Lepisosteus oculatus: one gene and its partners. The protein of the gene in region 2 purifies or fractionates together with the protein of the main gene of each other region. This does not show direct contact. Links are inferred from orthologs where the notes say so. Each region holds a gene or a part of one and is shown on either strand. Other genes may lie near its edges. The genes, in order: bcap31, vdac1, bsg and rab2a.

Region 1 (7,520 bases), on a different chromosome or scaffold from region 2:
GGAAGGGCCAGTTGTGTGTTTTTCACATCTCCACTTCAAAAACGGTCAACTGGGACAGTTTCCATCTGGCTTCCAAACTGTCAAGCGCTGTGGCGTGCTCCTTGTGGAAGTGGCGTGGTACTGTCTCTTTTGTCAGGGTTTGTATGACTCCAGAACAGCAGAAGGGTTGTAAAAGACAGGAGGCCGTTTTAGCTTGAACTACTGGTTTGGCCTCACCCAGCCGCTCCTCGAATGGCCCTGCCTTTAATGCCTTAGCCTGGCGGTTGGTTCCAGGAGCAGAGGGGAAATTCAGCGTGAAGACGTGCCACCTGTTCTCTGTCCTGAAGGCAGGCCCAGTGCATGCGATTTGTTTTTGTATCTGGTTCAAATCCCCCAGCGATCTCCTTTATTCAGAACTAAAGAGAGGTGGTTGCTCTAACCTGTCTGTCGTGCTATACCACTGGCACCAGCTGCGTCACGGACAGTATGAGGCAAGAGCAGGTGTTGCACTTCTGCATCTCTGTTAGTGGAGAATGCACTTTGCCCACTCGACAGTGTTATGGGTCAACGAAACAGCTGTCGCTTTTGTAAAGCTATGGAGTGAACATGGGTGTCTCGAGTGTATGTTTTTAATAATAATGTCTTATAATCTGAACAAATCAACAAAGAACAGTTTTGCTGCCTAAACCATTTCGAAGTCACCTGTGCAAAATCTTTATTGTAAAACCTAGCTCTCATTTCAAACACTCCGGACCTGAACTCCCCAGGTGAACTTTTCTAGCAGGCTTGGAGATGGTGGGCTAAGTGCTCTGGCTGGAATGACCTTTATGCTGATGTACAAATTCTGGAGAAAAAAAAAAATCATCACCAGTAATGTTCAGCATTGTAAAGCACTCCAAAAATACCTTTTCTGGCTCTCATTTCTATGTATTGATGTGTTGTATCTGCTCCTCCAAGAACGAGAGAGAGAGCAAAGACGTTTGACCACAGCTCTAGTCTTGTGGTTTGGGTACATACAGCTACAGCGTTGTAAGAATAGTTCTTGTATTTTTCTGAAGTTTTATACTAAAAAAAATCCATACATGATAATACAATACAATACATACAATGATAAGTTAATACTTATGTCTTAACTATTAAAACAGCGCTAGTACCTCAGACCGATGCTTTCCAGTGTACCGCAGTGTTTCGTAGTGAAGTAGCTTTTTACAGACGCTCACATGTAATTGGCCAATTTGACCAGCAGAGGTCTCTGTTTTACTACATTCGTTCCTATACACTAAAGGCCATTTTCGTTTGGGTGTTACTGAATAACTTAAATTACTTTGGATTTAATAATAATAATAATAATTGCTTACACTTATATAGCACTTTTTTCTGGACACTCCACTCAAAGAGCTTTACAGGTAATGGGGATCCCCTCCACCTCCACCAGTGTGCAGCCCCACCTGGATGATGTGACAGCAGCCATAGTGCGCCAGTCCTCTCCCCACACAGCAGCTCTCAGAGAGCAGAGTAACGAAGCCAGTTCAGAGAGGGGGGTTATTAGGAGGCCATGATTGGTAAGGGCCAATGGGAAATTTGGCTAGAATGCTGGGGTAACACCCCTACTCTTTTCGAGAGACACTCTGGGATTTTTAATGACCACAGAGAGTCAGAACCTCGGTGTTATATCTCATCCAAAGGATGGTGCCTGTTTACAGTACAGTGTCCCCATCACTATACTAGGGCATTAGGACCCACATGGACCACAGGGTGAGCGCCCCCTGCTGACCCCACTAACACCTCTTCCAGCAGCAGCCTTAGTTTTTCCCAGGAGTCTCCCATCCAGGTACTGACCAGGCTCACACCTGCTGAGCTTCAGTGGGCTGCCAGTTGTGAGCTGCAGATATGGCTGCTGGCTGATTTGACTTGGAGACACGTGTTCTGCTGACAGTTGCATGCACACAGCTCTCCAGACTATAAGCTGCACAAACATGTGATGCACGAGGGAGAAACATATATTTTCAATACACTACTATCACAGTTTCTGATGCCATTTTAAGAAAAGTGATCTATATACTATGTATATATTTACACAAAATTAACTGTTCAATACTCTTCTAGTCAAATTATATTTTTTACTTAAGAGGGTATACAACCGAAATTACGTCGTCAACACAAATTAGTTTTAAAATTATATTTTTCTAACTATTTTATTAACTCTATATTATTAAACTCAAACGCAATGCAAGACCATTGTTTTTGTCCACTGGATTTCACCTCTGTTCTATTGTACTTAGCAATTTTGCAAAGATGTGTTTCTTTATGCAAACTTACTCAGTTCAGGTACAAAAAAATAACACAGCACAAAATTCGTCAGATAAATTCTTTGCTTTTGTGGATGCTTATTCAAACAGACACTGTTTTGCAGATTTTGTTGAAGGAAGATTGTTTTACTTGGTGAACCAACACAGGGTTTACTATGTCTGTTACAAATGGCATCATGGTTAAAAGACATTTAACCTTCAGTTTCCCTGACTGTGTCTGGGTAGTGGCCTCTCCTCATTTTTCAAATGACTGGCTTGGAAGAGCTGTGACAGAGCAGCCTTCTAATCATTTATATTTAACATTAATATATATATTTTATTCTGTAACCTGTATATTTGTAGAGCCCAGTGAACACATTTTGTAGCTGCCAGTATTTAATCCTAGACTGAATAAGCAACTTTTAGAAAAGTATTTTAAGTGAATCCTTGAATATTTATTGACTAGGGTCACTTGACATTTCCAGAATGCTGGCCTGTTTTGCAAGGTTTGCAGTATTAGGTCTCTTTAGTGGTGCTTGCAATTTTACTGACAGTATTTGTCTCTGATTTGTCCTTATCTGTTTATGTCAAGACTTGGAACTGTTTCTGGAGTGAAGGAAACAGCTGTTCTGTAACTGTTATCATTATTGTTAAATTGTTTTTTTTTTCTGTATTGCTGAATGTAGTTAGACCTCAGTGCTTCTGTCAGATCACTGGGATGCAAACATAATGTATGCTTTACTGACACACAGAGACTTTAAAACCCTTTTCAGAACTTGCATTTGAAGGAGTCTTGTAAGAAAGCCTTTAATAAAAAAACAGCTTGTTGTGTCAAACATGTTTTGTGTAATATGTTTATCAGATTTTCTACCCCTGTTACATCTTAGCAAAGGGAAGGCAATTTCTATCAAGGTGACAAAGTATCACAATCCTGGCCAGAGGACGAGGAGGCTGGGACCCCCTGCGGACTGAGGGGGGCCCAGGGGCGGCTGCAGGGGGAGGTGGGGAGCAGGAGGGGTGCAGGAGGCGTGTGTGAGGGAGAGGGGGGGACCTCGTCCGGTCTTTATAGTGCTTCAGGAGAGGAAATGACATCACGAGTGACTGCTAATTACTGACAGCTGAGTCTGATTGTACTGGGCTGTTGTCATCCATCCCAAACTTTCGTTGTGAACTCCATTCATTAAATTAGTCTGTGCAGCACAGGTGTGGCTCCTTTTCTGTTCAGTTGTATGGATAGTATATTTTCTGCTTTGTCAACCTTTTCTCTGTGTTTTTCTGCCTCCTATCTGGAATGTACAGGGTGAATTAATCCTTTCAAGAGTCATTTACCCTAATTCAGTGCTTATATGAAGGAGTACTCTCTCAGTGGTGCCTACCAAGAAAATCTTCTTTCATCCATGCGATGTAAATTATTGTCCAGGAAAAGATCATTTGTTCCAAACCCCTGAATAATCCTTATTTTTTATAATCCCTCTCATCACTTACGTCATTTTGCTGTTCTCCCGTCATTCACCGTGGGCTATTAAAGCAATGCTCCTGGCAAGAGCACTTTGTGTTCTCTGAAGCGCTGGTTTCCTAATTCTAATGTTCTCAAGTACAGCACGTACACATGATAAACGTCAGGTGATGATTTCAGATCCTCACAACTCTGTGCGTTTCATTAGAAAAAAAAAACTTGAGCCGCACCTGCAAACATCCTGCAGGATCAGAATTCCGTATCCTGTAGAAATATTTGTTTTTTCTCTTCGGTAAATTTTAGGATCCCTAAAACAGACCGTCAAGATAAATGTATGGTTCTTGTTGACAGCGTTGTATAACATCTGTAAGGGGCAGAACATACATAGGTGCGCATTCCAAAACACGTATGCACATACTAGAAATTAAGAAGTGAACCCCGAGAAGTGGAAATTAAGATTCCGCATTCTGTTTATACAGCTCTTCATTGCCACCATGAGGTGATACAGCAATACTACCATTCAATACAGTATTTTTATTTTTTGGCAGCTTGCCACGCCCCCTCGTTTTTCTCCTTCCGGGGTTATGTCGTGTCTCTGGCTTCTCCTTCCCGGGTCAGAGTTCAGTGTTTGCACTGTATGGTCTGTTGATGAGCTGGAGTTTGCAGACAGGACATTCCCGGAGCAAAACTGAGAACAGAGTATTTTGTATTACAATACAATAAGGACTCGACAACCTAAAAGCTCAACGGCGAAAACAACGAAAGCTCATTCATCAGTGGAGAAAGGTGAGTGTCACGGCAATGACTCTGCGTTTGTGAGTGATTTAATGATGAAACGATGGGAGTGAAGGTTTAAATTAGCTACGTCGCAATAAAATGTTTTGTGACGTTTAATCACCAAGCCACTTAACACTATAATTAATTATGCCTGTTTATGATTATAAAGCTTTTTAATTTAATCAGCTAAATTACTGATCTCATTGCATGTAATGTCGTCACTTACTGCTGACCAATCCGAAATGTCACATGAACGCATAAACGCAGTTCTCTAAAAAGGGCGTGGTGTGGTTGACTACCTTCATACTTCGAATACAAAAGTAAGATATTGAAACAGCTGTGTGCATTTTCATAATTTTAATATTTCACCACCAGTATCGTGATCCGAAGAGAAGAGTTCAGGAGGCGTGTTCGCTGTTATCAGTCGCGCAGTTTCGACAGTGCTCTGTGCTGCGGACTTCAGCCCGGAACTGTAGACTTGGCTCCTGACGGGATATATGTTCAGTGCCTGGAGTCGCTACCTTTCTCGCCCTGTGGGAACTGATACTTGGTTTCTATCGGTGCAAAACAGGTGCCCAGCCATTAGAAAAACAAAAGACAAACATCCACAATTTGCAGTTTCTCTTACAGTGTCGGAATATTAATACAATTTCATAGACGGCACAGACCTGTTTATGCAATAAGGCTAAAGAGGGATATTTATATATATATATGCGTTAGTGTAATTTAAAATTAGGGCGACAGCACCTGGGATTAGGGCGGATACTAACTAAGTTTAACGTCTCTATGCAAATATGTGAAAAGGGTGACCTGTTTGAAATAGGCAGCCCCTGATGAGGGTTAATTTGAAAGCCTGCTGCTAATGTTTGAAGCCAGCCATGGCGCTGTGGAAGGGGCGGGAGCTTTGGTGCGTATGTAGGGGGGTGGGGCTTATAATGTTACGTAGTCGGATTGGACAGCAGCGTAGGGGCGGGGTCTGTGGTGTGCGGTGGTTTGTTTTCCTGGGCTGAGTCTAGATCAAACTAAATCAAATCCAAGGTGCCCAGCATTTCATGATGTTGATATTAAGAAATCTGTAATGATAACAAAAACAACTCCCAGCTTCCAAATCACCCTGCACCTCACAACTGGCAGCCCCCTGAAGCTCAGCAGCTGTGAGCCTGGCCAGTACCTGGATGGGAGACCTCCTGGGAAAGCTCAGGCTTCTGCTGGAAGAGGTGTTAGTGGGACCAGTAGGTTGCGCTCACCTTACAGTCTCTGTGGGTCCTAATGCCCCAGTTAAAGACAGGGGCACTATACTGTAAAAAGGCCCAGATGAGACGTAAAACTGAGGTCCTGACTATGGTCATTAAAAATCCCAGGGAGTTTCTCGAAAAGACTAGGGATGTTATTCCAATGTCCTGGCCTTTACCAATCATGGCCTCCTAATAACCCCCATCTCTGATCTGGCTTCATCACTCTGCTCTCCTCCCCACTGAGAGCTGCTGTGTGGGGAGAAGACTGGAGCATCATCCAGGTGGGGCTGCACACTGGTGGGGATGGAGGGGATCCCCATTTCCTGTAAAGCGCTGTGAGTGGAGTGTCCAGAAAAGCGTTATATAAGTGTAAGAAATTACTATAAATTATTATGAGATTTCTTTAACAAGTGAACACCCTGTTTTCCTGTTCCGTGGCCTGACAGGAGATGGCGCCGTTGCACTGCTGTGGGCCTGAGACTGATCTCCTGTGGCAGTTGTGCTCAGTGGAGCTGGGTGTGAACAAGCCCATTACAATGCACCCCCACTGTGAGTTGTAGGCAGCAGTAATGAGCACCCTGGGCCCTGGTTTTCGCTAACGCCTTTTTAGCAACCCCAGAAAACAGGACGTGCTTTACAGCTGTGGCCCCAGCACCCTTCTTGATGGCTCCCTGTGGCGATCTGGCCTTCGCAGCACCTTGCCCCCGGCCCCCCCGTTCAAGGGTTGTGACGGTGCCTCTCGTGTCCCCCGCAGCGTGAGAGCCGACAGCCCGAGACGATGAGTCTGCAGTGGACGGCCGTCGCCACCTTCCTGTACGCGGAGGTCTTCGCCGTGCTGCTGCTCTGCGTGCCCTTCATCTCCCCGACCAGGTAACCCCCAGCTCGACCGCTGCGGACATCTTCCAGCAGGCCCAGCGGAAAAACACCCGAGAGCCCTTTCCTGCTGTGTGCTTGTGGACCGAAGGCCAGAGAATTGTCAGAAAGGACAGCAGCTCCCGAGCCTGTCCGGTCAGAGAGCGAGCAGGACTAAAGGACAGAGGAGCCAAATTCTGGGCAAGGGCGGACTGATTGTGCATCATCATTCGCTGTGAAAGCCTCTAGATGTTGTGCATCAGAATTAAGCGAGAGTGCTGAGCTGCGATTGAAAGGCTGTTAGAATGGAAACGGGTTGTGCATATTCATCTGAATTTAATGGTTGAATGTTTCCATGGTGGTTAAGGTGTTGTTCCTTGTTTGCCCACTTGCTCATATTGTGGACTTACTCCGTGCTTTCTGTCACTATACAGCTGTGGGGACTGAAGCAGTTGCCTTTGTGACTTTGTTAGAAAGTACAACACAAAAGGGAACCTATGTGGAACTGCCCCTTCCCTTTTCAGAACAGCTTTCAGTTTAAGAACCTGTGCATTGCTAGTGTTATGGGGCAGCTTGCTGCAGAACTCAGCTCTTCCCCTGGTGGGCCTTGTGCAGCTCTCATGTGCGTGCGTGTGTGTGTGTGAGAGAATGTGTGTGTGTGGGCGCACGTGTGTGCATGCTCAGAGTTGCATGCTGCAGCCAGTTCCTCACAGTCTTGTCTGTCTCCCTCTGGCAGATGGAATAAGATCTTCAAGTCTCGTCTGGTGAAGGCCATCACAACATACGGCAACACCTACTTTGTGGTGCTGATCCTCATTCTGGTCTTTCTGCTCATTGGTGAGTGTTGCCGACCCTAGTGGCAAGGAGGAGGAGGTGCCGGGGCGTCCTACCCTACTACAGGGGCTCCTTGATTGCAGTTCTGGCTGTTAAAGA
Region 2 (7,514 bases):
CGGTAGGATGCTTATTGATCTGTGTGCCCCTTGGACAGCTCACTTCTCAAACAAAGGGAAGCAGAGCTCTATCCAAACTTCAAACTGCTCCTGTAGTGATTCAGGCAAAATCTGCATTTACTTCTTGCATGCAGCACTCACAAACTAAATAATCTAAAGTGTCCTTCCTCGGAGATTGTATTTCCATTTATGTGTATATCACAGTCTAATTTAACAACACTTTGAGCTGCTGAAATACCTCAAAGATAAGATAACCCAAAAGGCATCTAGAATTTAACAAGGCTTGCAAAACAAAGATAGTTATGCCATTCAGCATTCTTTAAATGAAGCCCAAGCTACACTAGTACGGAAAGCCTGTGGTTTATACCAGTAGTCTAAATCAAAGCCAATAGCGACCCTGCCTGCTGAAATGATTTGGAAGCTTCAAACAGCTCTCTCACTTTGATATCTAAAAACCATGCTGATTTTTTTATTAGGAATCACATTTTTAAATATCATCATGATCTATTGCTGACAGAACCACATTGACGCACTCTTTTAATAATAATTAATCATTGCTTACACTTATATAGCACTTTTCTGGACACTCCACTCAAAGCGCTTTACAGGTAATGGGGACTCCCCTCCACCACCACCACCAATGTGCAGCATCCACCTGGATGATGCAATGGCAGCCATAGTGCCCCAGAAGGCTCACCACCCATCAGCTATCAGTGGGGAGGAGAGCAGAGTAATGAAGCCAATTCATAGATGGGGATTATTAGGAGGCCATGATTGGTAAGGGCCAATGGGAAATTTGGCCAGGACGCCGGGGTTACACCCCTACTCTTTTTTAGAAACGCCCTGGGATTTTTAATGACCACAGAGAGTCAGGACCTCGGTTTTACGTCTCATCCGAAGGACAGATTTTTACACTTTTACAACACTTTTGTGTTGTAACAGACTAACAGCTATATAAACTAATCAATATAAAAATATGGATATTTCAAACACTTTTTCCAGCTCTTTACTGTGATAGTTTCAGTTTTGTATTTTTTCTGGCATCATTCTAATGCTCTTGTCTTCCAAGGAAAACCTGCACAACCCAAAGGAAAACACACATAAAGGACAATATCTCACGAGTCCTAAAACTGCTGGAGAGTGAAAAAAATGGAAAGGGAAAGAAGTCGATTCATTTCAAAAGGAAAGAACAACAGGAAATTTGTTCTTAAAATACAGAAACAATAATAAGAAAATAACTTTTTCCAGCTGAATAACACTTCCCATCCCAACAGATCTCAAAGTATCACACATATAGGATTAACTGATATGTAGACCTGGGTGATATACAGACGCCACTCTACACCTACAGCCCCACAACACAGCAGCTAAGATGAGGAAGATAATTATTTAATCAATTAAAACTACAGGAGAAGTTAAGCCAGGAGGTCAGAATGTGCAAGCCCAAAGTGGAATTTCTCCAGGACACTGGAATTAACACTCATTCTCTTATTCGTTTAATGTGTTATCCAAAGGACACATTCTTTTGAAAGCATCTCCTACACCACAGTGCCCCGTGACCATACTGGGGCATTGGTTTGAAAGGAAATTCTGGTTCAGAAAGAAGAGTGCCACCTAATGATCCACCAAAACCACTTACAGCGACCATCTTGTTTTCCCCAGATACCTCCCATCTCAGTACTGATCAGGCCTAACCATGCTTAGCTTCTAAGATCTTACAAGGTACATCTCTTGTATCTTGTCACAAGAAGTGATCTCTTCTGAGATTACTACAAAGTAGTAAAACTGCAACGGAATTAAGTTTTGCTCATTAGGGACAGGATACAAACTTCAAAAGAAGACAGAACCAATTATTGATGCATTTTGTACACCCCAGTACTGACTCTAAAACGAGTCCATTGGCATGCTTAAAACTCTATTAAATGAAGTGGACGGCAAATCAACTGCAGTGTGATGTGAAATATTCTATATATTCCATATAGATTCTTCCTCTTCATAGCAGACCTACACATATCCTCCAAGAGGTTTTAGTTAAGAAACCAACACACAATATCCTTGAAATTTTACAATGTTTTAGAAGTACAAAATTCACAATATCACTTAAATAAAAACACCATGATGAGAGTAAAACACAGTACATGAAAGTTATCTCACCCTTCATCTGTTTTTTATCTCATTAAGGCTCAATGAAAGTACAGCAATATATAAAAAGCCACAAGTCTGAAATGCCAAATGATGGTTTCTGAGCAGCAAATTGCCCTTTGATTCTCCATTTCTAAAGCTGTGCAACTGTCCTTTCCAAACCAGTCTGTGATGGATGCAATGTGTGCACAACCTTCTCAATGCTGAATAGAGGTCACCTGCTGTACCATCCAGCCGAGCGAGCGAGACACGAAGAACAGGCCCGACACATATCACCGTCTCAGACCAACCGGTGCTCACTTTGAAGATGACACTTCACATAATCGACTTCAGATTCAAAAGTCACGTTTTTGTTTTTATGCACGGTGTACATAAATAACTTATTCTACTTTTACAGAGACGTAAGTTAACCAACCATTGTATGCTACTTAGTAAAACCGACGAAGCAATGCTTGAAGTGATTATAAAATGATGTTCGGACTACCGACTGCGATTAATGCTGTACATTAAACGAAGTGTCACTTTGAGGGCCAAGATTCACATGCTTTCAAAACAAACTTCCGTAATAATGCATTTTTTTCACTAGAAGGTGTCACGTTTTATTCTATTATACATTTTTCAGCAATAAAAACACACATTAAATAATGATTTACAAATGGTGCTTTGACAGACATACGGATATACAGTATTTCTGCTTCAAGAGCATTTAGATATAAGCGTGAGTTACTCGACCTTATTTCTATCAATCTCAACGCATTTGTGCACAAACTGAAAAGCTAAATATACTATCATTGTTGCAATGACGCTTCAAATTATTGCTGACCACCAGCCTGATCACAGGAATTATCTAAGCCTTACTACCATTCCGAGGCCTGGCACGCACAAACGATCTACTTATCTGCAGTGCAGCATCAGCATCTTGTGAGCAACGCTTTTTTCCGGCAGGTTTTGCACGTTTGCAAGCGATATTATTTATGTTCCTTCAAGGTCGGTATCCAGTAGATACCAAGCCATCGTCGCGGTACATAAATGGCCTTTCTGGATTAAATTTCGACATACCTTAACTAGTGCTGTCTGATCCTGTTGGGATCCAACCCTCGTCAGTCGAACATCAGGAGGAGAAAGGGGAGGCGCTTCCGTCTTTGGCTTGAAGCATAGATACGCAGACGCGCATTGTGAAGACACGCCTCCGGCTCAGAGTGCATGGGAGGCAGATGGCTATATCTTTGTAAACCATGTGACACAACAAAAAGAATTACACCAATATAATAATATTCAACATTATAGCCATACGTGCAGAAAGTAAAATATGTTCTAGCAACATGAGAGCACGCTTGTGGCTTGCAAGAATAACAGACTTTACTGATAACAGGGCATGCTGTTGAGTTTTTGTACCAGATTATATACACGCTGATTTCTTAGAAAACCCTGATGTTGTATTTTTTATATGTTCGAAGTGTTCAAAACGTAACTTTTAGTTATTAATGAATAGCAGCTGTTAATTCAATTTTCTTTCAAATTCTGTGCTCACGGATGCAATAATCTGTTTAATACAAAGGAACAAGTAAAGATGTAATCCATGCTGAAAAGAGGAGAAAAGAAACACAACGTTTCGGCTGTGGAGCCTTCTTCATGTGTGTGCCTAAAGGTTCTGTTTCTTTTCTTCTCTTTTCAGTATGGAATACACCTTTAGTTGTTCCTTTGCAGTTTCCGCATGCTGATGCAGCTACCTACTTGAACTATTTACAACAATCCTATTGTAATAGAACAAAGTTCTCAGTTCGACAGATAATATGGTAACCAGGAATAGAATATATAGTTTATGTAAACTACATGTACTTAAATAGTTTAGTATAAATATGTCTAACTTCAAAAATCTTATGTGGTGTCACCACTGCTACAAATGATAAACTTGTAGTTCTTGATTTTTTTATCTGGTGAGGTGCAGCCTTGGGCTATGTTAATATTATGTATATATTTATATAATAAATACTATTAATATGATTTATAAGACAATCTTTAACATACCAGACGAGACCTGTGTGTAATTAATTTTAAGATTTCAGGATTTTCAATCACAGTTACCTTTTATTTCAGATATTGAAACTTAGTCTTTCAACAGGTAACTGTGTATGTCTTTGCTCTAATAGTGGAATTTAACAGTGAAGTTGATATTTTTTAGTACAATTTTGAATGAAGATATTTTTATTATATTAATTTCAACTGCTTTTCATAGACTGTTAAATATTTCAGTTTCTTTAAAAACACACTTATATACCTGCCAGGTGTTCTTCGTTCCTAACAAGGAACTCTGGGTCTCAGCGATGCATCATTACTTCAGTGACAATTTTGTCCAAGGGTGTTACCTAGAGGTAGGACAGCGTGTTTGGTTGGAGCTGTGCAATGGCATAAATGTTTTAATTGGTATTTTAGAAAATAAATGTATATAAAAACTATTTTCTGTCACAAGTCTATAATCAAATCTTTATAACATTTTGTAATGATATTTTTTTGTAATTATGGTCTCTCCCTTTTCTGTGATAGTCTTCTTCTGTACGAGCATTTTGGTTTATTCATGTGACTGGAAATCCTGGTGAGAATCAAAAATGGTAATATGGTAATTGCTTTTAGAAGTTGGCTTCACCATCGTAGGCTTTTACATCATGTGTGCAGTCATTAGCTGAGTGACAGCAACAGTGTCAATTTACTATACAGTGTATCTTCAAACAGAAAACCTTTACAAAATTTGTGTAAAACATTTTAAAAACGCTGATGTGCATCCAGGGTGGCATAGTCATGCAGTCATTAGCACTACTGCCTCACAGTGCTGGGGCCCTGGGTTCGATTCCAGACCTTGGACCTTGGACCTTCTCTGTAGAGAGTTTGTTTGTTCTCCCCAAATTCTTCTGGGTTTCCTCACACAGTCCAAAGACATACTGGTAGGTTAATTGGCTTCTTTGTCAAACTGACTCTGAGTGAGTGTGTTTGTGTGTATGTCCTGTGGTGGGCTGGTACATCACACCCAGGGTGTACCCTACATTGTGCCCATTGCTTGCTGGGATAAACTCTGACTTCCCCATGATCCATAATAGGAAGAGGCAGTTAGAAAATGTTTGGGTGTACATGTTGTGAATTTATAATAAAAGTAAAATGGACTCGTTGCTTACTTTTGTTTTTCTTGCTTTGCACTATATCAGTTTTAAGATGACTGCTAAGGAAACTTATTTAAAATAAGTTATTTAAAATGCATTGAGTTAATCATTTCTTCTGATTAACTCAGTGTCACATGTAATTTTTATCCTCAGTCCTCAACACCCATTTTTACTCTTGCTGTCCACACTGTATGGTGATTTTAAAACCTCTGTTTTGTGTGCTTTCAACACAACTTCCTTCCCACCTTCTGAATGTAACTGGAAAAGGAAAAACCATAGCTTAATCACTATTTTCACTCAGATTTCATTTTGCAACGCTAATAAGCTAGCCTAAAATGTTAAAATTGAGCATTGTTTGCACTGAAATAGAAAAAACTCTTTATTGTTTTTATAAGCATTTTTTTAGCTGTGGCATGAATTAGAATATGTATATTTATACAAACCGTGTGAGTTTTACACTGGATTTATTTCTTAAGGATATCTGTATTTTAGTATATTTATAATAATAAAGTGGGAAATGAAACTCAACATTTGTTTGTGATATTTAATATAAGAAACAAGTCAATAGTTTTGTTCTATGGCTTCTTTTTATTGTTCCCTTCACTCCTCTTCTTCTTGACTTCCATCATTATCATCATCATATTCTCTTCATTCTTAGTATTGCCATCACCGGATTTATCAAGTTTCATTTTTCTTTATCAGAATTATTTTTATTCATAATCTGTTAAAATATGTAAAACACCACCTCTATTGTCTCAGAAGAACTGCGTTACACGAATATTTTTTTACTTTTTCGTTAAATGCAACATGTTTTGACAAAATAGCAGGGATGTGGTAAGCATAGAATATCTGGAAGAAAGCCAAACCCCTGACTTCCTTTAATATACTACATCTCATGCAACTAACAATATTCTTATCACTGAGTGCCAAGACCCACTTTTACTATATTTAAAGAAAACTGGATGATAACATTCAGAAGTGGATAAAGAACTCATCACATGAATAACAAGGAAAAAAGAAAACAAAAGGAAAGATAAGTCACGTCCTGTAACGTGAAAAAAACTAAAGGTACTGTATTGAACTCAATGTGTCACAAGATGGCGCTCGAAGCAGATTAATGCTCTTGGAAGCAATACGTTCTTGTTTTTCCTTTACATTTACTAGCGCGTGAAATTAGTTTATAAATATTAGTCTTTCTTTGAATATTATATTACAATGATCAGATAAGTTATCAAATCAATCAATTTGTCGATTTACGTTGAGCTTGTTTTAATTGCACAGATCCGAAGGATATTTACACAGACAAGCTTGAATTTTATCTGGTTTACAGAACATTTGTAACGGCTTTCTTTCTACATTACTTACTTACAAATACTTTTGGAAACATGGCTTCTTGTTTGTGCTTCTTGCTAGTTATCATAAAAATACATTTTAAAAATCAAAACACAAGTGAGAGGATTAGCACTTAAGACATTAATAGAGAATTAGGTTTCCTTTATTTTCCAAATTTTTAATTCGAAAGTTCGCTAGATTTAATACTAGAAAATGTGTGCTTTAATTGATAAACACATTGCTCTTAGAGTGTGTTTTGCAAAGCATGAAGTACTTAGAAATACATTAAGTTTACGCAAAACGTTGAAACAAGAAACAATTTTGTGATTTGTCTGTTCTGACACAGATTTGTGTTAATACGATTATCATTGCATTTTTGTCTTTAACACATTTAATTACTACTGAAACACAAGTGTATGTTCTTTTCCATTGTATAACTTTTGTGTTACTGAAAAAACACGAGTGAATCCAGTTGCGAGCTCTAGATTCTTGATTAGAAAATGTAGAACAATTATTGCACTTTTAAAAAAATGTAAATTTTAATAGATGTATTAATTGCCTATGACTAATGTAATAATTTTATAAATATGATTACTGCGTGATTAAAGTATTTCATTATAAGGTCTAAATATATCCTGTCAGGCCAATGAAAACTAGGCAAACATCAAGGCATACCATATCAAAGTCAGAAACAATGATCATCAAATGAGCACACATTTTAAGATATTGCCTGCACAATGAGAAATCATACAATAAAACAGAAGCAACAGATGGACAGATAAATTATACATTTGTATTCATGTTATAAAACATAATAAAGGATTGTTTTTAATAAAATTCTATGCTTTGAAATTTCTTTAAAGGATTAAACTGTAATGTAGTATTATA
Region 3 (7,309 bases), on a different chromosome or scaffold from region 2:
CATTTGTGTTCAAAAATATTAGTTCAGACCTCAATCACATCATAGGGCTTTCGACAATTACCAAGTTCCATGCTAAGCAAAGCAACTTAAATTTTCATCTCAATGCCCCCTTTACTTGTTGGCTGAACTTTAGCCATTCTCACCTTTTCTTTTCCATACAACACTCCTTCAGTTAAAATAGTTTAACCGAAAACCTGCCCAGTTCGCATTAAGCAAATTACCAATCTCACCCTCAGGAACCCCCTTTTCAAAATCAAATCTCAGTTCCCATTCACTTTGCACATCTCACCACAGTCACTTAACATTTAAAAAGGAGCCCCACAAGTGATGAAGAGCCAATTGTTTTTCTTTACACCAGTAACATACTATATAAATGCTATAGTATAAAACTACAATATGGGAGCTTGAATGTATTATTGTGCCCATTGCAATCTGTTTTTTTGGTGAAAAGAAATGCAATAAAAAGTAACACTTCCATAGCATTTCATAAATGGGAGGACACAAGAGACTAATAACCCCATGTTTAAAATCCCAGTTAGACTACAGCCACACAGTGCTACAGTGAAAGCTAATTTTACTTATGAACTGACACTGCCATTATAGGAAAAGTTCAGCTCTGGGACTGTTGTATCCCTCGGTATTATTGGCAGACAGCAACCAAAAGCACTTGTCATTGCATAACGAGCAGAAAACGATTTACCTAGTAACAGCACAGTAACTCCACTGTTCTAGAAAACAATTCCCAAGAAGAATATTCTACATTTTACATAAACCGTATGCCAAGAAATCTTCTCTTATATAATGCTTTAGGCATAACGTGAATAAAACCCACTGCAAAAACTGGTAAATTCAACACAAGGTCTCACTCCTTACCCTTTTAACTGAACAATTTTTCATTGCTTGCTCTACACAAACAGAACCTGATGTGGACAGTGCAAGCCACAATTTCAAAACACCATTTAAATAATTTACATTCCCACAACTTTCCGAAAACACGGTTTGTGAATGTATAACTGTCCCTGTTCAATTTAACTGTGACGGCTTTCTTGGTCATATTCATGACGCCTCCTTAGCACAATACCGAGCACCCTGTCATCTTGCAATGACTGCTTTAGTATGGAAAAAGATGCAGCCACACTGCTGGTGAACAATAGCTGGGCATGGCTTCATTCAAGAACAGATAGGTTCTCAGACCCATCAGGCCTTGCTATGCACAGTACACCAGAGACGTATGGGTATAAACTGAAAGATATGTACCAAGCCTCTACCTCCTTAACAGACTATAGTGGCCCAAATTACTTTTGTATCCTTGACTATGTTACACAACTCTACAGTAGTCAAACCCCTATGAGTGGGCCTCAATTAGTTTTTACCCAGTTAAAATTAAATTCCCCTCGTGACCAGTTACTGACACAGCTTGTGGCTTCCTGCTTACAAACTCAGTACGGCCCTTTCAGTCACGGACCTTCGGCATCACAAGTGTTGGAATAATAGCAGATAATGAGATTTAACTAATCACATGCCTCTCCACCATCCTGGAGGCCAAGACAGTGCTTCCAGCTGCCTAAGAACAAGGGATTTTCAGTTGACATCACCTGGCTCCAGCTCAACGTCAGACTGCATCAGCGCTCCTTCACATCTCTCCAAGCAACAGGAAAGGAAAACGGCAGACCGCAGTTGTAAATGCTTAATGTGAATATCAAGCACGGAAGCAAAGCATTTTAGTTGTCTCCTCTGCTGGATGCAAAAAATACATCCTGAAACTCAATAGCATATTTCAGGTGAGGCACCTACAAATAGCTAAACCTGCTCTTTCCTTAAATGGCTCTTTTCTCGCCCTTTAACTGTGCTAAATTTAAACGAACATATCGCAGGCGTACTGAACACCGCCTAATCCATTGTTATGCTGAAACGGGGCTCCTAAAGCCCTACATCGGAAGACGGTGATCGATGCGGCGATAAACCCGACAGATCGGCCTTGCCTGTTTGAAACGCTCCTTCTTAAGATCGATCAAATTAGCGACATGAAGCCGCCACACATTCCAAAAACAGGTCGTTCTGATTTAAACCCCATCGGGAAGTTTCGTGAGAAGTTTTACCGTTTTTTTCTAATTCCTGAAGGCACGGGAGGTAAACTGGGTTTATCCGGCGGATTAAGCAGCATGTGGTGTTAACAATTCTACAACGGCCTCTCCGACTAACACAGGAAGATTATTACAGCTACCTTTTCTAAAACTTTTTACGATCTAGCTTCCATATTGACTGCAAAACGAATTTTATACGTTAATACTAATAATAATAATTATATTAAGGTCGCTCCTGCGTTATCTTACGAAAACACGTTGCCTCCCAAGAGCACCACCCAATGTCGCCCTCATTACGCAGTAACAGGCCATAAGTAAAACACATTTGCTTAAACTAAAGTTTGAACCGACCCCGAATGACTATCGGGGTACGTTTGACCATTTAGGGACACTAAAAACGAACAAAAAAATGAAACATGCTTTAAAATCTCACGTGTCTATACGTAGCGATTACATGTCCGACGTATACGTAGAGATTGTTCACCACACGCCAAATTACCCACCTACTCGTATCACCGTATCCCTACATGGGAATAACGTTTATACGCCGTGTTTAAAAAAACACACCATTAAAAACACAAATGACCTGTAAACATCGCAAAAGAACGTAGCTCATGAAAGAAAACAAAACAAGTCAAACCCCCCCCCCATCTTAAAAAAAAAACAGACATACGTGCCTCCGTCGCGCCTCTATGGAAAGGCACGCTTTCAAAAACGTCGATATTAAAAAGAGTCTTTTCGAGCCCGAGGGTCATCTGGACCTGAAGGCTGCTGTAACACGACCTCGGCCATTTTCTTACCGGCTACCGCCACTGTTTACCGAGCCGCCTCACGCTCACCCGACAAAAAAAAACAACAGATTATTATAGGCTTGTGTTCACCAACGTTTCACGGTGGACCTGACCATCGCATTTATATTTCTACAGTATGGGGGGAAAAAAGAAACAGGGGGACCATTGTACCCATTTCTGTTGACCGCGGTCAACCCATGACATTCTTGTTTGTTATACAAAAAAAGGGAGGGCTACCGACGAGGGGAGGAGAAAAACAGACGAGCGTCTTACCTGTCATGGCACTGGCCCCGTACAAGAACACCAACAGGACACCCGCTGTACAAAACACCGCCATCGTACGGGCTTTGTCACAAACCATCACGGCTCAAATTAAAAGTCGAAGCGCCTCTGGATCAATTCGAACCAACGGACGGCTCCGGCTCTGCCCTCTGCCTCGCACTGGCTCGAGCCCCCTCCGTCGTCCTCTATTTGTTCCTCGTCACGCGCCGCGCCGTGCACGCGCACGTACCCGCCCATTTCCGGCCGCGTGCGCGCGTCACGCCCCGGCGTGGGCGGGGTTGAGGTTACGTGACCGAGAGCAGCAGCAGCCGCGGCGTGTGTCGGAAGACGACGGGACCCAAGTGTTTCAAATGGATCTTTTTGTTTTTTTTTTTAATATAGGAGTGGTGGAGGAAAAAACATACGATTTCCGCGGGCGAAGTACATATTTAAGGCATTCCCGTACCACATAGCCAGGAAATCTTTGTGCAGCCTCCCCTGTCTTCTTAAAATAACAATGTTAAAGCCCCGAGGAACAGCTGTGGTTTCAATAATATTTTAAGTTACTGGTAGAATATGAATGTCATAACTTCCAATGAACTGAATTGCGTTTTATATATTTCAACGCCAAAAAAATCTCCTAAACCCCTCTTTCGAGCCCTGTTTAGCACCTACCTTCAGTAGCTATAAAACTACAAAGCACAGTAAGATTACTGAGATAATACCACGGCACAGCCAAATTATCGTTCTACGTGACTCAAAGTCCAACTTGCTATTGTTTAACGAGAAAGAATATTCTCCGTCTTAAAATCTCACGAGGTGGATTCATACGCGAAACAGGACGGTTTTACAACATCGCTGTTCTGGTTATATTAGACCTTGAGAGTGAACTCGTTGTTTGCACTAGACTGACGGCTTCGGGATCACGACCAAATTAAGAACTCCTGATACTTTCGCTCCGCGAACACGCGATTGCATGATAAATAGCAAACCGAGTGTCCCAAGTAATTTACCTACTCCAGTCTTGAAGCGTGAGATCCTGCCGTTTCTTTGAGCCACGGCAAACTGCTCTCAAATTGAGAAACGGCCGATTTCAGCTAACGAAATGCGAGATCTGATCCTGTAGTGAGTACAATCGGCATTCTAAAACAACAGATCTGCTCTGAATCTGTTAACGGTGGATCTGCTGACCTGTATCAGATTCAGAGCAGATCTGTTTAATCTATTATTAAAGCTGATACGTGCTTTTCATTTCTTATAGCCAGGATCAGCTTTAATAATAAAGTTTTTCAGCTCAGGTGACAAGTTAAATTGAAGTGTTTATGAGTTTCTCATACAGGGTCCCATTATTAGCTGATAAAAACTGGGAGCCCGTCCGCCGTCCAAGTTAAGGAAATGTGGTGGAGGTTAGCACTTTACCTTCAGAAATGGGGGCACGGGGGGGGGTTCTTAAGAGATAAGATCACTTTATTGGCCCTATACAATTTCTTGCATTAGGAATTTGTCTTTTCACATACCCCAGCTTGCTCTCCATGAGACACACAGACAGGGAGAGAAGCTGGGGGTCAGAGCGCAGGGTCAGCCATTTATACGGTGCCCCTGGAGCAGCTGGGGTTAAGGGCCTTGCTCAGGGGCCCAGCGGACTAGGATTCCTTTTCCAGCCACAGGCGCAGATCCTGAGCCACAGAGCCACCGTTCTGCCCTTAATTTGTGCTCACTCCTCGCCTACAGTGGTACTGCAGTGGTGAAACCCAGCTGGCCATGACTCTCTGTTCAGTGGTGTCAGTGCTGGCAAGACACTGACTGACCCCCTAGAGACTCTTCTCTTATGGTGGCCGTCCCCTGAAGCCCTTTCTTTCTGTCCAGCAGGTTTTGTTTCCCGTTACAGCTGTAGTTTACGGGCCAGCCGACTGGTTTGTTCTGAGGTGCTGCTGCTCCAGCATACCCCTGCTTTCCCACAGTCTGCGCCCAACCCCGATTCAAGCTCTTCTTGCACTGTTAATTGCAAAATAAATAAAAAAAAACTCCAGAATCCACATCGCTATTCATCTCAGGCGCGTTCAGAGCAGCCAGGACATCCTTACCCGCAGCAACTCGTTAGGAACAATTAAAATTACAGGATCGAGTGGGAATGAAATCTGCAGCCCCCTCATTATTCCCTTTAGGTTTCTGCCCCTTGTGGTAAAGAGCCCAAAGGGATACCAGACCAATTAAACTAATTCAATGTTATCTGCAAGGGAAGAACAAAGACAAAGGAAATGAAATCGGATCACCTCGAGAAATGATAAGAGAATCAGCTCAGTGTGTATTTGTAAAAGGAGCCTATTGTAACGACTGGGTGTCATCTCCCCTCTACTTTTAACACGTCTGCAAAGGAAGTCTACGTTCTGCCTATAATGCAATGCAAGAGGCGTAGGCTTTAGGTACCGAGGAACGGGTGGAAAGAGGAGGGGAGGTGTCAAGAGGGGTGGATTTGCTATTTTGGTCAAATATCTTTGTTTCACTGAATAATGCACCTCCTTTCCAACTAAAGGGCAGTCTGCCTCCCCCGTTCCAAAGGCAACACTATTGTACTGTGTAGTGATCTTTAATCCACCGATAATGAAAAATTCAATGCAGACTTTATGTTATTTTACTGCTTCATAGTACAGTTGCAGATTCTTTGTGGTGTACAGTTTGTAAGCTGTGCCTGCATTACTTTGGCTCTTGGCTGTGCGACACAATGCTGTTCTAGGTCATGTTGGTTTACGGGTCAAGCAGACGGGGTCTGCTTCTTGTGTCGCTATCGCCTGCCCCAGGTTTCCTCTATTCCGGTTTACCTCATAATGCTGCAGCCTTAAAGGTAATTACACCCTGAGCCTCTTTGTAGGTTACACTGTTAAAGCAATTCAGTTATTAATACAGGCCATGTCACTCATGCAAGAGCACGCAAAAACATCAACTGGGCGCCGAGGAGAGACTCAGAAACAGAACTCGCTAGTTTTCTTCTCTTTGTGAAATGCCTTGATCATTTCAAGTTTTTCGAGCACATTTAAAAATGAATTCACTTTCTTATCGACAAGAGATCTTAAAGGCATCTATCATAAACTCCCTCCAAAGAACCTTTAGACTATTATAGAAGAAGAAAATGTGTAATATTTTAATATTTTAAGTTAGGTCTTCTGACCAGGAAGCAAATAGGAAGAGGCACTGGGAATTGACTGGTTAAGGGACACCATCGCCATCTGGTGTCTTCTGCATATAGTGCAATTCCAGATTCAGTATTCTTGAAAATCTAATGATGTACTTACTATATTCTATTTTTGCTGATAAGATATCCTGGATCTTTGCCGACTGCCCTATCTTTCTTACACCCAAAGAAGGCTCCACAGCGGAAACGTTGTGTTTTCTTTCTTCTCTCTTTAGCATCAAATAAACCTTTACTTGTTCCTATATTCTATTCCCCACTGCAGTTATTATAAATCATGTCCTGTCCAATGCTCATCCATCCACTTAAAAGTCAAATCCTAACAGCTTGTTTAAAACTAACTTTGTTCTGGAACACAACATCTTTAAAGTACAATGAAAACAATCCCCAACATATTTTACAACCGGAAAATAATGTTTTTAAAAGTAAGCTTTAAAAGTTCATTTCTTTCCACTAAGAAATAAACTGTGTGCATTGTCGACAGAAGCACAGGATGAAGATTACAATGGTCGGCTTCCTTAAATAGCTCCAATCACATCAGTGCTCCTTCAGCAGTCGGCTCTCCTGTAGGTGCATGTAGCTCTTAATGAATAACAGGAAGGTTGAACTTTTCCTGACTTTGCATAGAATATAGAACTTATAAAAATGTAATAACGTTAAATCCACCACTTTAACAAATGTCCTGACACTCATCGTGTTAATAATACATTATTTATCTCGTTAATTAGTAATACATTTGTTTTTCTGGAAAAAGTAAACTCCCTTTTCGGTTCCTGGGCTCCCTCCCTAGGTGTTAACTGATCACATCATTCCCTTATTTTTTGCACATTAAGGCACGGGATACATAGGAGCAGTAACATAAAGGATCGTATTTTAATAATGATCTTGTAACTGAAAATTCGGATCAGACAGTACTCAAAATAATTGTTGGTTATCAAGAGCAAAGCCAGAGCCATACGACTGAGACTAGGGCCTGGGTTAGCTCT
Region 4 (7,971 bases), on a different chromosome or scaffold from region 2:
CTTCCTTGGAACGGAAGCACTGGATTTTTCAGTTGTAATCTATATTTCCTGATTGATAGATGCATCGAAGTTTGTTAAGACCTGGGTTTCAGCCCAAAAAACATAACACAAATCCAGCATTACTGTGTATGTTGTATACATAGTCTACTTCATTCTGAAAATTCCCCAATTTCTATTTCTGGATGTGTTAGTTGAAGATTAGTGTCCTTCTTCTGTTAACAGCCAGTGGCAGACATTTTGAAAACTGCCCCAACACTTTCATCTCAATTAACACAAAACATTCTTTATCTCTTAGTTCAACCCAACATGGAACAACACATTTGAGTTACATTTACGTCCATATTTAACGACTTAAATGATTTTAACACATCAAAAGTCTCTTCTTCTGAATATACAGTATCCAAAATATGAGAAATAGATAACTGTTATATGGTTTGGTTATCATACCTCTTCTTTTCCTTTTCTGTTTCCTCTTATACCTACTTCTTTACTTTCCTTTTAACTTTACAAGTCCTTTCATCTTACAAATCTTCCTTTTATGTTTCGCTTACCTTCCTGTATTTTCTCATTCCTCTACTAACCCACAGCTTAAGGTTAAGAGAGGAAGTCCTCTGAAGGCTTTCTCTGATACCATTTGCATTTTATAGCTTTGGAATTTTCTCTTAGTCCTGGAACGTGGAATACATTTGTGTTTTTTTCTCACACATGCAGACTGGTTCTGTATTTCCTGCTATTTTGGTCCCTGCAAAATGTGACCCAGAATTCTATTTTTGGTCTCTGATTATCTGTGATTACAGACATTACAAAATATACTATAGAAACAGAAATACATACAAATATACATGTACATTCCCAATCAACACAATCTTTTTAAGGCACTAAGAAATTCCATTATTTTTAATACAGCTGAACTCTGTGATCATGGATTCAGTTCCGGGTCGTGTCACTAGCCAACTATAATAATAATAATTGCTTACACTTATATAGCGCTTTTCTTGATACATAACTCAAAGCACTTTACGGATAATGGGTACTCTCCTCCACCACCACCTATGTCCAGTCCCGCCTGGATGATGCAACGGCAGCCATAGTGCGCCAGAACACTCACCACACACTGAGGAGAACAGAGTGATGAAGCCAGTTCATAGATGGGGATTTTGGTTATACCCCTACTCTTTTCAAGAAACGCCCTGGGATTTTTAATGACCACAGAGAGTCAGGACCTCAGTTTTAAGTCTCATCCGAAGGACAGCGCCTTTTTACAGTATAGTTTCCCCGTCACTATACTGGGGCATTAAGACCCACGTAGACCACAGAGTAAGCGCCCCCTGCTGGCCCCACTAACACCTCTTCCAGAAGCAACCTTAGGTTTTCCCAGGAGGTCTCTCATCCAGGTAAGATAAGATAAGATCACTTTATTAGCCATATACAATTTCCTGCGTTAGGAATTTGTCTTTTCACATACCCCAGCTTGCTCTCCATAAGATACAGACAGGGAGAGAGAAGCTTGGGGTCAGATTGTATAGCACCCCTATAGCACCTGGGGTTAAGGGCCTTGTTCAGGGGCCCAATGGAGTTAGATTCCTCTGCCGGTTGCAGGATTTGAACCGGCAACCTTCCAGCCACAGGTGCAGATCCTTAGCCACAGTGCCAGCACTCCGCCTGGCTGGCAGGTACTGACCAGGCTCACACCTGCTGAGCTTCAGTGGGCTGCCAGATGTGAGTTGCAGGGTGATATGGCTGCTGGCATATACAGAGTAATACAGAGCAATACAGTAAATAGAGTAATACACAGTGATACAGAGAATACGGGGAATTCAGTGTCGTTGTGCAGGTGACTTACTTCATTACCTGATGGAGTCTCAGGGACAGGTGTCATCAATGACAGGGCAATGGCTTCCTCCTCTGGGTTTGTGAAGAGAAAGGTTGTGGCGTCAATGGCCTTTCCCACTACTTTAAGCGCTGCTGGGACAGGTGCCAAGCCAATCCCCTTTCCGTCCCCTTCACTCCTCATGACTGCCCCAGCCCAGACTGTGTTTGCTGACTCCATCACATTAGGCTTACGCTTCTGGTTGACCTTATTGGCTGTCACTCTGTCTCTTGCTGTAACTGGGATTCTGCAATGCAAGATGCACAAGGAGCTGTGTGACCATGACAGTAGGGTGAGATTAGCTGGCCAGGACTTTTTCGGCTTTCTACTGTTGATGAGGAATGGAACTGTAACGAAAGCATTCTTCCAGGACCCTATGCAGACGACACAATCCGGGAAATCCAGGTCTCTCTGGTGACCAATGGCAGGGTTAAGAGCTTCAAGCCAAGACGAGAAAAATGAAAAAAAAACAGACAAATTAGAAAGTCTAGTAGAGATCCTCATGAAAGAGAACTGAGATTCAGGGAAAGAGGAATAGTACAGACAGCCATGATCAACACCACAGAAGGATACAGCTAAAGGTGTATCCTGTGAGAACACCAAGGTAGCCCACGGGTGAGGAGAAGTCATGGCGAAACAGCTGGTGCTACACTGATCGCAATGGCATGCAATATAAAAAAAGCAGCCCGCATGATAGGCGAGTTGTGCAGAGACTCAGTGCAAACTCCAACAGCCAGAACTACAATGACAGGGATTAGCTACAGCCCTGGCAGGCAGGACATGGGCTGCATTGGGCAAGAGGGTGGGAAAAAGAGCGTGCTGGGATGCTTTTTCGGATAGACATGGTCCCCAGCCACAATCAATGAGTGGTGCCCAAGTCGGGATCACACTCCAGTTGCCTTAATTGAAGACTCCAAAGATCCCAAGTAGTGGCGGTTTTAGGTTGCGGCCAAAATGGGATAATCAGCTATTGAGGGTGTCTGGGAAGTTGCAGCACCCAGAAAAATGCTGTATGGGGATGGAGGTCCGAGGAAACTTATTTTTAGGGAGAAATGATTGGCATGGATTATCTCCTACACCATAAAAGGCTAAGCCCAGATTTTGCAACCTGATGTGGTGTATTATTTCATCTAAAATCAGGTTGAAAACAAGAACTACCCACTGCTCCTTTTATAGTGAGACAGGCTTAGGGAATAATGTGTGCCATGACATGATATTGTGCCTGGCAAGCTTGATTAGAGGTTTTACATCCGTGTGTGCCATGCTCTCAGTATTTTTGAACTGAGATAAACAAATGTGAGGCACTTGATCAGTTTGTGCTAAGTTCCCGAGAACATGGCAGGACAGGATAAGCTAGTATAGTCTGAGAACTAGTGGAGAATCAGAGGCATAGTCAAATTGTGTCTGAATTTGGGGTGATAAAAGGCTTTTCAGCAATGCAGTTGGGTAAACTGCTTAACAAAGTTTCTCCCCGGTTTGAACATTTGAATACCAAATCTGACCACTGTTGTTTATTACTTCTATTAAATTTTGTTTAGATTATTTAGTTACATTTATGTGTGAAACCATTTATCTCCTGCTCAAACGCTTTGTGTCTGGTTCAAAACCCAAATAAATCCTAACTTACATCTTTAGATAAGATAAGATACATGTTCTGGATGTGTTTACCATTTTTTCTAGAAGCACAGCTCAAAGTGCCAGGACTCTGATTTCTCATATATCCAGAATGAAACACACATTCTGAAGTCATCTCACAATCACAGGCATAGGTCCTTAAATTTCATAAATTGCACTCATATACACCTTCCCTGCAAGTAAAGTGAAATTAAAGTGAATATTAAAAAAATAATTAATATTCAGGGCACTGGAACAGGTAATCGTTTCACCCCAGAAGCTGAATAGGTTTCAGCACTAGCTTTTTCTACAGAATCTCACACTGTGGAGCTGTAAATCTCACCCTTAAGGAGTCAGCCTGTGAAAATTCTTTAAAAGTTAGAAGCATTTGATCAAATATCACAGAATTATTTTTACTCAGTAGAAATGAAGAATTTTATAGAACTTATAGCACAACAGTAAATGTATATTATCATGACAGCATGACAAAATCCTGTGACTTCTTTAATTCACTAATACTGTCAAAGCTGTGCAATCATTAATGTTACCAGTATAGTTTCTAATATCATACTTTATTTTAAGTTTTTGTGGAAGCAGGCAGTTTTTTTTTCCATTGGGCACTTCCAAATGAACTTTTGGAAGTTTGCAGAGACTACAAACTTTAAAACGTCTTGTTTGTGAAGTACATGCAGACTTCATCCCTAACATCACGAATTCTTTTCTTACACATTTCAGCATTTTTTGCTGAACACCTTTCCAACCTTGAACAGGGCAAAAAGTAAAGTTTTAAAACCTGCGTGCCTTTTTTGGTATGTCTAAACTCTCTGTAATAGGTGAATTATTCCAATACTCAAGCATTGCCAAATTAATTTCAACAACAAGGCACATGATAAATACATCTTGTATTTCGAATAGGATTTTTGTGTGTTGTACCTTTGGCATACGCGATGTCAGTAACAAAGCGGGTAAGTATGTAGAATTAAACAAAAAAGCAGTGAAACAGATTCTCAGCGCACTAGCGCCGGCACGGCTACAGAGACAGCAGACAGTCGGCGCTCGTCTTAACATACGGGTTCGGGCGCAGCAATGTCAGCACTTCCGGGCGCAGCAATGTGAGCGTGTTCTGCGTGCGTGGCGAAGGCGGAACGTGTGACGTGGGCAGCCCGGAGCTCGGAGGTGTTTATTGTTCCTTCTGGTCGCCGAAGAGAAAGAGGCTGGTGAAGCGGAGTGAGACTGAGAGAAAGCACAGGCTTTTTCCCCGCCACTTCCTCTCTCCACAGCTTGAACGAGTAACACAGCGAGGGAGCAAAGCACAAGACCCGGGCAGAAACAGCATCCCAGCGGCCATGGCATACGCGTATCTCTTCAAATACATCATTATCGGAGACACGGGTGAGCAGCCGCTGTGTGACGGCGTAGGAAAAGAGAGAGAGAGACATTTACGTCTCTCTCTTATTTCCGCAGTGTTGGAGTCAATGACGTGGTAAAAGCACAGGAACGCTAGGGTGGGAGGGCTGCTTAGTTTCTTCCCCCCCCGTTAAAATAACTGATCTAAGGTGACATAATTGCCATTTGGCAGGTGAATTGACAGCAGCCGCCTCGGCACCGGCCTGCTTGTGTCTTTCCATTGCGATTGCGGCGAGGGTGGAGGGGAGGTGGGGGCTAATTGCATTGCAAACACCAAATAACCCTTTCCCCGAAAATGGCTCCGGCGAAGACGGACCCGTGTAGCAAGATGCGCCGGCCCTCTCTGGGGGGCTAGACGGGCAACTGTTGGACGAGTCCGCCCGCAGATCGCCGGCTGCCCGTCGTCGTGTTAACGTCTGCAGGGGAAGGAAATGTTTTCGCTTTGGGGGGGAAAATGGCGTTTTCAGCGGTTTTGCAGACTGTCAGCCTTCGGGTTGACTCTGCTTTTCGGTTATGTAAATCATCGGCGACAGGTTTTTTTTGTAGGCCTAGGTGGTGATGGGGGGGTTATATTTGTGCATGCCAGCTCACCTGCAACACACTGTTCCACCTGCGGGGAATAAATAGTATAATCGGAGGTTGGAGGAAAATAATAAAAAAACTGGCCTTGCAGTTCTCCTAGCTGTCAGGGGAGCTCCGTGGGTTGTTTCGCATATGCTGGCTTGACAAAAGTCCGGGCCTTCGCTAGACCCTGGTCATTTCGTGATAAAGATGCCCTTTCATCTTTTGGGTTGCTTAGGCGGTGTGCGACACCTTGACCGGGTTTCAGCCTTCTTCAGCTATATTTCTGTTAGCTGAAACGGGGAGGAAAGCCCGTGTTAGTTTGCTCTCTTGTTCGTTGTGAAACCCTCTCTTAACGCACTTACCATCTCAGCATCACAGGTTATAACATACTTTCCTAGATGGCATCCGACTAATTTAAACCTACAGATCCGCTTCAAAAATAATCTTCGCATATGTCATCCCCTGCAAATCAACGTTTTGCGAATTTGCTTAAAATATAGATACAAAACTATTCTTTATAGACATGGACGTTATTATCTGGAAATAAGGAAAGAACGTTTTTTAAGAATGTATTTATTTTATAGACTGGCACATAGGAAGATTGAAGTAAAACTTGCGCACAGCCTGTTATCCTCACCATGTCCTAAATGAATTAATTCAGTACTAATTTTGCCACTTGGTAGAATAAGTTTTAAGTGACTTAGAATAGTATTATATTTAATTATTTAATCATTTACTTTATACATCAGTGAGCTGCATTCCTGGTGGCAGTACGTGTGGTTATGATGTTGGTTTATTAATCGGTTATAAACTCTTTATCATACCAGTCAAAATAGTAATGTCCAGGTCAGTATTTGCAGAATTTTGATTTAACTGCTACCCTTTGCACAACAATATAAATGCAGGTTTCATACATTACCAATATAAATGTTGTCTTTAATTTTGCTGTAGATTTTAAAATTATTTTTCCCAGAGTCCTGAGAAGTTATCGGATTGTGTTTCTCACAAGATGTACATGTGAAGTAATTAGCTGCTGTGGTCTCAAACTTTGGTTTATGAAGTAAACTCACATACAAGTGTCCCCTGCTCAATCCAACAACGCCACTTATTTTTCACACATGGCTAAACCCAGGTCTTCAACGAAATGTTATTGCCTGTCATAGCACCCTCTTTCCTAGTCTTATTTTTCTGTGTTTGCTGAGAAGTACCAAAGTTGTGCCTCACAGTTAAATGTTATTGAGTCATTTAAATGGCCTAACCTCAAAATGGTAACTGCAGACATTGACACAAGGCCTGTGTCAGCAAGGCTGAATTGGTACAGCTCCCTAATACTTATTTTATAATGCAATGGTTCAGATGTTGCATGTGATATTGCACAGAGGGTAGAAATGTGGTGGGTGTACTGTGTACTGCAGTTCAAAGCTCATGCAATGTGGAATATCCATCTGGGACTGCACTCCAGCAAGGGTGTGGAGAGCTGGTGCGCTCCTGTTGCTCAGTGTCTTCCATAGTAACCGGCAGAAAGGATTTGACTTAGCGCATGTCCTCCAGGTTTCCCTGCAGGGCATTCCATGCCCTTAACGAGGGCGGTGTGCTGAAGAAAGGGCTGGTAACGCATGCTGCTGTGCATCTGTATTTAAAGGCAAATGATCCTGGTAGAATTCTGGAGCCAGTAGTAGTCTTTGATCAGTGCAATGACCAACTTTAAGTCTCTCTTGGGTTGGAACGTGTCTGCCAGACTGGCAGACAAGCCTTTGCAGTGAGTCTCGTTTACTTCTTGGCTGTAATGGGAGAAGTAGTGCAAGCTCTGTGGGACAGCGTGTGTTTTAAAGGATGTGGCGTGTAATATTTTAGAGGAGGAAGAGACGACCGTGAAACTGAAGCTCGGTGGTGACTGTCTTGGATCCAGAGGAGGAGAGGGAGGAGGAATGAGAGGCAGAGCGACAGAGAATCGGACAAGATGAGGACGCAGGCAGAGAAAGGAAAATGTAGTTTTGATTTGTTTTAGAAAAGTTAAATCTAGATTTAAGACTGAAGTCCTGAGGTCATGCCCTTTGCCAATTCGATATTCATTAGAAAAAGTTTCAGTAGTCTCTCTTTTCTTTAAAAAACTCTTTCAATAGGCTTTAAAATACTGTTTCAAGAAATGAGCTTGAATACTTTAAAAAAAAGAGGCCGAACATTTTCACAAGTTCAGCTCATGTTTCATCACGCGCTGCTTCCAGACTTCCTCCATACAACTTCCATAATAAAACCGCCCCTTATCACAGTCTTATTTAGCATCTGAAAATCAGACAAAATAGTTTTTCAGGCGTTTATTGGAATTTTATTTAAATAATAAATGATAAGGAAGGTGTGATCTGTACAAAATTCTACCATGTAAAATATCCTCTTCGACATGAAATGTAGCCTATAGACAAGAATAATTTTATGTAGTAATTATAACAATTTCAAGAGATGAATATGCATTGAGTTATTAAAAGTTCTTCATTCAAATTGAAGTTGTATATTTTCTC

The links.
Region 1: the proteins of vdac1 (region 2) and bcap31 purify together in Homo sapiens (affinity purification with western blotting; 3 studies listed by BioGRID, with this or other methods). This does not show direct contact. The link is inferred for Lepisosteus oculatus from reciprocal best matches to the Homo sapiens genes VDAC1 and BCAP31.
Region 3: the proteins of vdac1 (region 2) and bsg purify together in Homo sapiens (affinity purification with mass spectrometry; 3 studies listed by BioGRID, with this or other methods). This does not show direct contact. The link is inferred for Lepisosteus oculatus from reciprocal best matches to the Homo sapiens genes VDAC1 and BSG.
Region 4: the proteins of vdac1 (region 2) and rab2a purify together in Homo sapiens (affinity purification with mass spectrometry; 3 studies listed by BioGRID and IntAct, with this or other methods). This does not show direct contact. The link is inferred for Lepisosteus oculatus from reciprocal best matches to the Homo sapiens genes VDAC1 and RAB2A.

Annotation. Positions count from the first base shown.
Region 1 is NC_090697.1:76,379,548-76,387,067, reverse strand, and holds the start of bcap31 (B-cell receptor-associated protein 31), read left to right. Parts: upstream 1-4,307; 5' UTR 4,308-4,509; intron 4,510-4,721; exon of another isoform or gene 4,722-4,820; intron 4,821-6,208; exon of another isoform or gene 6,209-6,284; intron 6,285-6,489; 5' UTR 6,490-6,513; coding exon 6,514-6,605; intron 6,606-7,323; coding exon 7,324-7,424; intron 7,425-7,520. UniProt on the Homo sapiens protein: Functions as a chaperone protein. Is one of the most abundant endoplasmic reticulum (ER) proteins.
Region 2 is NC_090706.1:24,044,617-24,052,130, reverse strand, and holds the start of vdac1 (non-selective voltage-gated ion channel VDAC1), read right to left. Parts: upstream 3,308-7,514; 5' UTR 3,202-3,307; intron 1-3,201. UniProt on the Homo sapiens protein: Non-selective voltage-gated ion channel that mediates the transport of anions and cations through the mitochondrion outer membrane and plasma membrane.
Region 3 is NC_090724.1:7,646,592-7,653,900, reverse strand, and holds the start of bsg (basigin), read right to left. Parts: upstream 3,367-7,309; 5' UTR 3,237-3,366; coding exon 3,149-3,236; intron 3,062-3,148; exon of another isoform or gene 2,840-3,061; coding exon of another isoform or gene 2,758-2,839; intron 1-2,757.
Region 4 is NC_090701.1:50,092,196-50,100,166, forward strand, and holds the start of rab2a (ras-related protein Rab-2A), read left to right. Parts: upstream 1-4,672; 5' UTR 4,673-4,830; coding exon 4,831-4,876; intron 4,877-7,971.